2 linked regions of the Drosophila melanogaster genome follow. The gene in region 2 interacts genetically with the main gene of each other region. Each region holds a gene or a part of one and is shown on either strand. Other genes may lie near its edges.

Evidence for each region.
Region 1: of l(2)gl (region 2) and Ankle2, changing one suppresses a phenotype caused by changing the other (phenotypic suppression), as found in Drosophila melanogaster (one study listed by BioGRID).

What each region holds. Positions count from the first base shown.
Region 1 is NC_004354.4:17,577,145-17,580,902, forward strand, and holds the start of Ankle2 (Ankle2), read right to left. Parts: upstream 2,086-3,758; 5' UTR 1,961-2,085; exon of another isoform or gene 1,624-1,960; 5' UTR 1,601-1,623; coding exon 1,369-1,600; intron 1-1,368. UniProt on the Drosophila melanogaster protein: Involved in brain development probably by regulating asymmetric division of neuroblasts. Regulates neuroblast asymmetric cell division by controlling asymmetric protein localization of Mira, Baz, Par-6 and aPKC, and spindle alignment.
Region 2 is NT_033779.5:19,560-23,317, forward strand, and holds the start of l(2)gl (lethal (2) giant larvae), read right to left. Parts: upstream 1,818-3,758; 5' UTR 1,507-1,817; intron 1,415-1,506; 5' UTR 1,272-1,414; intron 462-1,271; exon of another isoform or gene 457-461; 5' UTR 386-456; coding exon of another isoform or gene 326-385; 5' UTR 321-325; intron 1-320. Other genes in the region: Ir21a (ionotropic receptor 21a), read right to left, coding at 2,360-3,128, 3,184-3,376, 3,435-3,758. UniProt on the Drosophila melanogaster protein: Essential for the development of polarized epithelia, for cell polarity associated with asymmetric cell division of neuroblasts during development, and for oocyte polarity formation.

The sequences.
Region 1 (3,758 bases), on a different chromosome or scaffold from region 2:
ACACAAGCCGGCAAAATTGGGCGTATGAACATATATATATATGTAAATATAGGATCCGGGGATTCTTGACAGTACACGCACACACTTTTTCGGGATACTTGTTGTTCTGCAGCTCGCAGTATAAATAAATTTGAAAAGGAAGCAAATTGGAGAAATTCTGTGTGATATACAGTTGCGACCTAATTTATAGTTTTTATTATCAACTGCTGTTTCGGGATCTTTCTAAAAATCGCAATTTAATAGGTACATAAGAAATAATAATATAAATATATAAATATTTACTACTTATGTGATATTGCCCCGAATTTTAGAATATTAAGATAATTGTTAAGTAACCCATAATTATTCTTGTTAAAAAAAAATATATATAAGGACCTATTATTTTGACCGCAGCTGTGTGACTGCTGGAACATAAATATGGCAGAATGTGGGTGCTGACAGGTCAAGGTCCTCGTAATGCATCCAATTTGGGCATTGCCTGGAATGGGAACTGGATGATGTCGATGTGGAAGTGGAATGAACTCGCCCCAATCGGTTTTTTGTTTTCGAATCGCATATAATTGGATTAAAGAGCGAACGACTGAGAGCAGGAGAGTTGCATTTAATTAGACAGGTAATCGCCATCGTTCACCATTTGTTTACAATTAAATCGAAAGACCGCTCCCAGACAAGGAAATCGACTGTGCGAGCGGGACAGCTGGGCAAGCCCCGATTCCGACTTTTTTCTCGAATCTCAGAAGTTTTGAACACACACATGTAAACTTCTTCATGGGCTGTTAGTCATGGAGGAACAACAGCGCAAAACGAAACTTATAAAAATGCAACAGTTGAATTACCCTATATGTAATTTATCCCAGTTAATACATTTCATATATAATAATATTTAAGCACTTAATTTACCAAAAATGTGTAATATGCACTATTAGGTTCATTAAAATAACGACTTGAAAGAACGAGTTATCCATATGCTGAACAAATTTCGATCAGGTATATTCTGCATAAATGGGAATAAAATTTCAACCCCTTATAAAACAAACATTATTGCAGAAATTCGTCAAGCAATTCAGGTTTAGTTTCAAAACAAAACCTATGCAATTCCGATCATGAACATTCCTGTTGCTTGGAAACTTCAACCCTCGACTTTTAAATTTGGTTTTAAAAGTATGTGTATGAATCATAAAACCTCCCACTTGCTCCATACGACACAATTGTTTAAAAACAAAAGCACACGAATACCCATCAACGAATCGACCGAACGTTCGCGCATGACCCCCGATTACAGGGTATCACAATAGCAACAAGCGGCAAATAACTGGAACGCAAAACACACACATATACCGACACTCGCTTCATCTCGTTCGTACTTACGTGGATAGTCGGGATCCTCGTACTTGGTGGCAGCACTGCCATCGTCTGCGTTGCCCGTTTGCACGGATGCCGCCGAGCCGGATGGCGATCCCGATGCTACTGATGCCGATCCAGACGCCGGATTGGATGGCTTTATGTTCACCGCGGCTATGGAGCCGATGCACTGCGACACCGATCCCTCAAAACAGCCCGCTTTGGAGGTCGGGATATAGACCCCGAAATAGGTCGACATCTCTGCGTAAAATGGCGGATGCACTGCAAGGTAAGCGGTTAAAATGGTTTGACATCAACACCAAATAACAGGCAACTTCTTCACAACTCCGTGAAAAAATGTAAAGTTCCGCTGATGGCAAGCGAAGGCAACGGTAAAAATAGGGTAACATCAACCACAAAATGCCAGGAACTCTACTGTCCCGTTTTGTTGTTGTTTTCGGCTGCACTCCTCCACTCGCACGCACACAAACACAACAACGCAAAAAAAAAACGGAAAAAAAACAGCACACGCACATCAACAACCAGCGACGCGAACTCACGAGACCTGGAAGACCCAACGAATCGGCGGAATCACAAACATATATCTTGTTATTCTTACCTTTTAGCACAAAGGGCACAATACATGAAACAAAACCCAATAATCTTAAGCGTCTTTCAAACAAAATGTGCACAAACGAAATTAAATTAGAGGCGGACTGTCAGCGAATCTAGGTGTGGAGTAATATCGATAAAAAGTATCGTATGACTAGCTGACTATTGCAGTCAATTTCGAATTGCAGATCAAATTGAAATATTCTAAAACACTTGCATGAAAATTACGCGAGATTTATATACAAAGCTATAGCGATGATTGGATATCGGAAATTCAAATTGATTGTTACACAGAGGGATTCAGACATGAGAAGTGACACTTTATTTTAAGTCTTAAAAGGTATTTTGGTTGTAAGTTAGTATTACGTTATTCATAAAACGTACAAATGAGGCATTCCCCCAACTTTCCTCTTAATCATATAGCCAAGCAAAACATTTGATGGTTTGAGTCAAGGGTGCTATCAATACCACTGGTATTTTCTTAGTATTTTGTAACATTTTTAAATGCACCGCCTTGAATTTAGTCCTCTTAATTTGTTCATTAACTTTGGCCACTCACAAGCCTAGCTTAAAGTTAGTAACAGTTGCCCTGCTTATCCGCTTCTATCCCTTTTACACTTTTAAATACAGTTTGAATTTCATACGTTGGTTTGGGTCTATGGTGAATTGGTTGACGATTGGTATCTTTTTGGTATTTTATAAGGCTCCCCATTTAACGGTGGGGATTTTTCGGACATATTTCAACGACCGTCGACGGCTGCAAACATAACGTTCGTGGATTTCGTGGGGAATAGCGGTCGACTCGCGCGGTCTCATTTTTTTAACGTGCTTGTGTTGTGTGTGTGAATGTGTTTGGCGTGCGGCTAACACTGTTGTTGTCGAATTGTTGTTGTTGTTGGTAAAAACTTGCGCGCCATTACTAACAGTAAATTAAAGGAGTATCACTGCTAAAAAAAAAAAAATTGAATACACGCAAATTTGAAAGCTGCGACCCAAAAAGGTTTGTTTAAGTCTTCTAGTCAATTGTCTGATTATATTTTGTTCCCTTTTTCCTTTTTTTTGGTAGCTCAGGGATACACATACCCAGCAGGGGTGTGTTTTCCTGCGTGCGGGTGTATGCGTGTTTGTTTGTGTGTTTTGAACCTGTCCTCTTATTCTTGGCTAAAAATCAATAAAATAAAGCAAAAGTCGAAACAACAAAAGCTGCAGGTCCTTTCAATCCATGTGTACGTGTGTGTGTGTGTGAAAAGGGTACTGATATTCAGTGGATTTTTTTTGCACTCAGTAAGCAGCTGCAATAACTAAATAAATAAAAGACCGTTAAACGAGGCTCACTTAGTTAGTCGAGCATGGCCAAAAAGCCCGAGTTGCCAATTGCCAATTAGAAGCCCAAAACAAACGAAGATACAGTGAGGCACGACTAACGGTAATTAGGCGATTACCCCCTGTAAATTGCACCTGCATTAACCGTTCGTTTTGCAAAACATTTCCCGTTTCAAATGGCCAAGCTAATTGCCATTTTAAAGTGCCCAATTGTTTTCGATTTTCGCATTCGTTCCTGATCTACTAATCCCGAATTGATTGCCACCAATTGATTCCAATTTTAAATCCTTCCTCTTTTTATTATCAATCATTATATATAGTATTATCAATGTTAATTATATACAGATATTTTCAATTTATAGCGACTTATGACGATCGAATCCTCTTTCTTAGAACAAAAACTTTTCATAAGTTTTGATAGTTTTAGTAACTTTTTGTTGTGTCAAGTATTAATCATTACGCAAATAAAATATGTTTACAAA
Region 2 (3,758 bases):
GCACCGTAACCTTTTTTATGCGGTGCTTTGTGGCGCGAGTCTACAAAATACTGTGTGTGTATGCGGTTTACTTGTAGTTGCGGTGGAAAAAATTTACCTAAATGTTAATGCCCAAAAGTATGCACATAGGAGAAGACATAACAAAAGATTCAAAAGGAGGTATTTATTTATTCCTCATAAATTATAAGCTTTCTTCTAACTTCCATAAAAATGTATTTACCACCCAAGATCAAAATAAATGACCCCACAAAATATACCAATCGGCTACAAATACTTAAAAAAAAAAAAATAGAACGGAAAGAGAAAATTGTTTGTTTTACCTTACGATGTAGCGTTGTCTGTCAGCACTGGGCTGCTGCCCTTTTCCTCTGATAAACTTTAACATGATTGGTTATGCTCTTGTGGTGGTTTGGTTTTGATGAATAAATAAGTATATTAATTGTGGCCGAATTTATTCTAAACTGAAAATAATAATAAAAATTAATCAAATTTTCAATAAGTAAAAAATTAAAAAGGAACTTGTATATTTTTTCACTCTTATGAATAAAACCGAGAATTTAAATTTAGGTAATACTATTAATACCTTTTATAGATACGGACGATACGTTTAATATTATTCTGGTATACTTTAATCAAAATTTGTTTAACAAAAAGGGTTTTACATTCTTGAAGTCATAGGAAAATCAGTGGACAGATAGATCTTGGCTCCCAAGATTTTCCAAACTAGTTGTGCTTATTTTCTTAAAACTTCAAAGATTTGCATGTAGGCAGTTTAATAAACATGTTTGTACATATGTATATGTACATTAGGAAAAATGAAATGATGAGCGATCTGTACTCTTTGCAATGTGTATGTATGTACATATGTACCTCCCTTTAATGAACTAGCAATTCCGTCACGCACACGAAATATTTTTTTATTTGTAAATCTTTTTTAAAGTTTGTTTAAACAATTTAGTTACTATTAAAGCTCTAAAATTCATAAATAAATAATAATAAATGTATTAATTAGGACAAAAAACAACTTAAAACATATACGTTTATTTTTGTAAAAGCGTTTTAGGCAAACGCTAGCTGGTCGGTACTAATATTTTTTCTAAGACTGTATACCGTATACATACATTTATGTACGTAGGTATGTATCCGTGAGTAAGCTGAGGTGCAAAACCGTATCACCATTTGCTTTTCGGCTGATAACCAATACCAAGTAAGTCAACTGTTTCCCAAATGTATCTGCATAACAAGGTGATGACCTAATTTTGAGTACATACCGATCTTTACAGTTGACCAGCTTTGCGATTGCATACCGGTATCTGTTTATTCACATATACACACACAAATTGCGTGTTAGACAGACAGCAAAATGACGACTGTTAACTGTTGGCGTGGCTGACTCACCGACTACGCCTCTATGCTAAGAACATACATATTTGTGGACACTTTATTTAAGAAGTTTGAAATATAAATCAATTGCCTAATCAGTAATACTGTTGTTGAGCCCTTTACCTTTATGTATTTCCGTTTGTACGGTTAAGGCGGTGGCCGAGTAATTTTTTGAACTATTTTATTTGCTCACCATCACGCATAAGTTTGTATGTATTCTTATGTTGAGAAACGCCCGCACTGTTCTTCACATCGTTGCTTTAAATGAGAATAAATGAAATAAACGTGTCAACCAAGAACACACAGATAATAATACGACCGGTCAGAGCTTAACCGTGTATCTGTTTTATAAAACGTGAACAATATTATTAGCCCAAAACGATATGCGCGTCATTTTAACACACACAAAGTCGCGATCGGTGGGTCTAGTGTGCCCGTGTATCTCTATCGAAAAAATCATATATTTTTTAGAAGGTATATTTACCATGACTGACTGGAATGGGTGGAGAACATCGCTTTGGGAGTGAAACTCCGCTATAAATTGCCATTTGTTTTTATAGCAACCTTTTTGATATGGTCGCCAACTTTTATATAATTATAATAATTTTTGTATATATAATCATAATAATATCATATAATAATCACCGCTGTCGCACGAAAAATTTAGAAAATGTGCCAACGAGCGGAATTTTTCGGAACGATCGATGTTTTACCATAACCTGCTATATAAATTGTGAACCACTTTCTTAACACAAAACTAGATGTGCTTCATTTATAACGCAATGTTGTGATTTGTGGGCAGTGTGACCATGTCCAATCCGCTTTCAAGTAAAACCATATATTGCCACAAACTTTCCCATACAAAATACCAAACAACTGTAAAATTTGTTGTTGCATCAAACTTTTTATTTCAATACATATAATTTCATGTGCACTAAAGTGATTATTTTGTATTTGCATTTAAAAATTTCTGTGATTAATTGTCAATACGGAATGTATGTGAGGAAGGATTGCCGTCGTTATCCATCTGGTCCATAAATTCGTCTAAACGCTGCAGAGATTCAAGAGCTTCCCGAGATTCTTCGTCTTCAATATTATTTAATTTTGCAGAACTGTTTGGAAACTCAGTGTGGACGATGTCTAGCTGACCATGATCTGTTTCAGGTGCCCCGTAGCTTCCGTATATTTCCCGAAGCGTTGCGCGGGTAAGATTTAACTCGCGCATTCCAAAACTCATTTTTTGAGCAACCTCAGCAGCCTCGCGTCTATTGGCCTTTCGCTTATCATGGGAAAGTTGCTCGGCATTAGTGCGAAGCATTGACCCACTTGACGCCGACGACCAAGAGGAGGCGGCCGACTTGCGGGAGCGCTTGATTATTTGGCGGCACTTGTTGGTAATCCCACCGACGATCTCGGATACCAGGGCTGTGGCTCCTAGAAAGTAGCCCAGTGCCATGAGCAGGAACATTCCTTCTGTGTCCGCTGTAGTCAATTGGCGCTCTTCCTGAATTATTTCGCGTAAGGAATTCGAAGAACTTGCCTGGAGCAGGCGTCCTGAAGATGATCGCTGCATGACCCAGCTTACCTCGTTATTGATTTTTGCAATAAGACCACTTTGCTGGGCAAGTAATATCATCGAGTCGATTTTGATTTTATACACTGACTCTCGGGGAAACAGAAATCCTATTTGGAAAAGAGCAAAACACTCTTCACTCAAATGAAGCGCCGATCGGCGGGAAATATTTCTAAAAGAGGATATCGTTTACGGTGGGAAGATTAAAAATAAAGGATCGATCTTACTCATCTGAAAAATTTGACTGCACCAGGTATTCGAGCTGAGCCTTTGAGCCAAGAAAGGCATAGTTCCAAAAGAAGCTCTGGGTAACGTTGCCAATGCCCTCATCTACGGACCCGACAAACTCCATTTTCTTGTACAATCTAGACGTCGGTATATGGGTCGAGTTCTGGAACCAGGTCTCCCAGCCACCATTGTCTTTAAGTAAGAAGCCCAAATATTATATACAAATGTAGCGAGCCTAACCTTTTCTTACTCAGGGTTCCAACGCGAAAGAACAATCCCAGCAGATCCAACACAGAGTCAACGGTGTCCGGAAAAGCTGGCAACGTTACGAATGCTATGATGGAACCTGTGTAGCAAGATGTAATGATAATTGTAAAGAGCCAATATGCTCCAATTAGAAGGCGTGTGGAATTTTTCCGCGTGTTGCTCCACGAGTATTTTCCGGTGAAGGAGAAAGCGTTTGTGAACATGCCAAATACATACCAGAACATGTTTTCTACCTCACCCCAATTACCCATTAAATGGCTAAGTGTCAAACGGTCGGTAAAAACTATCGGAAATATTCCACCGAGGT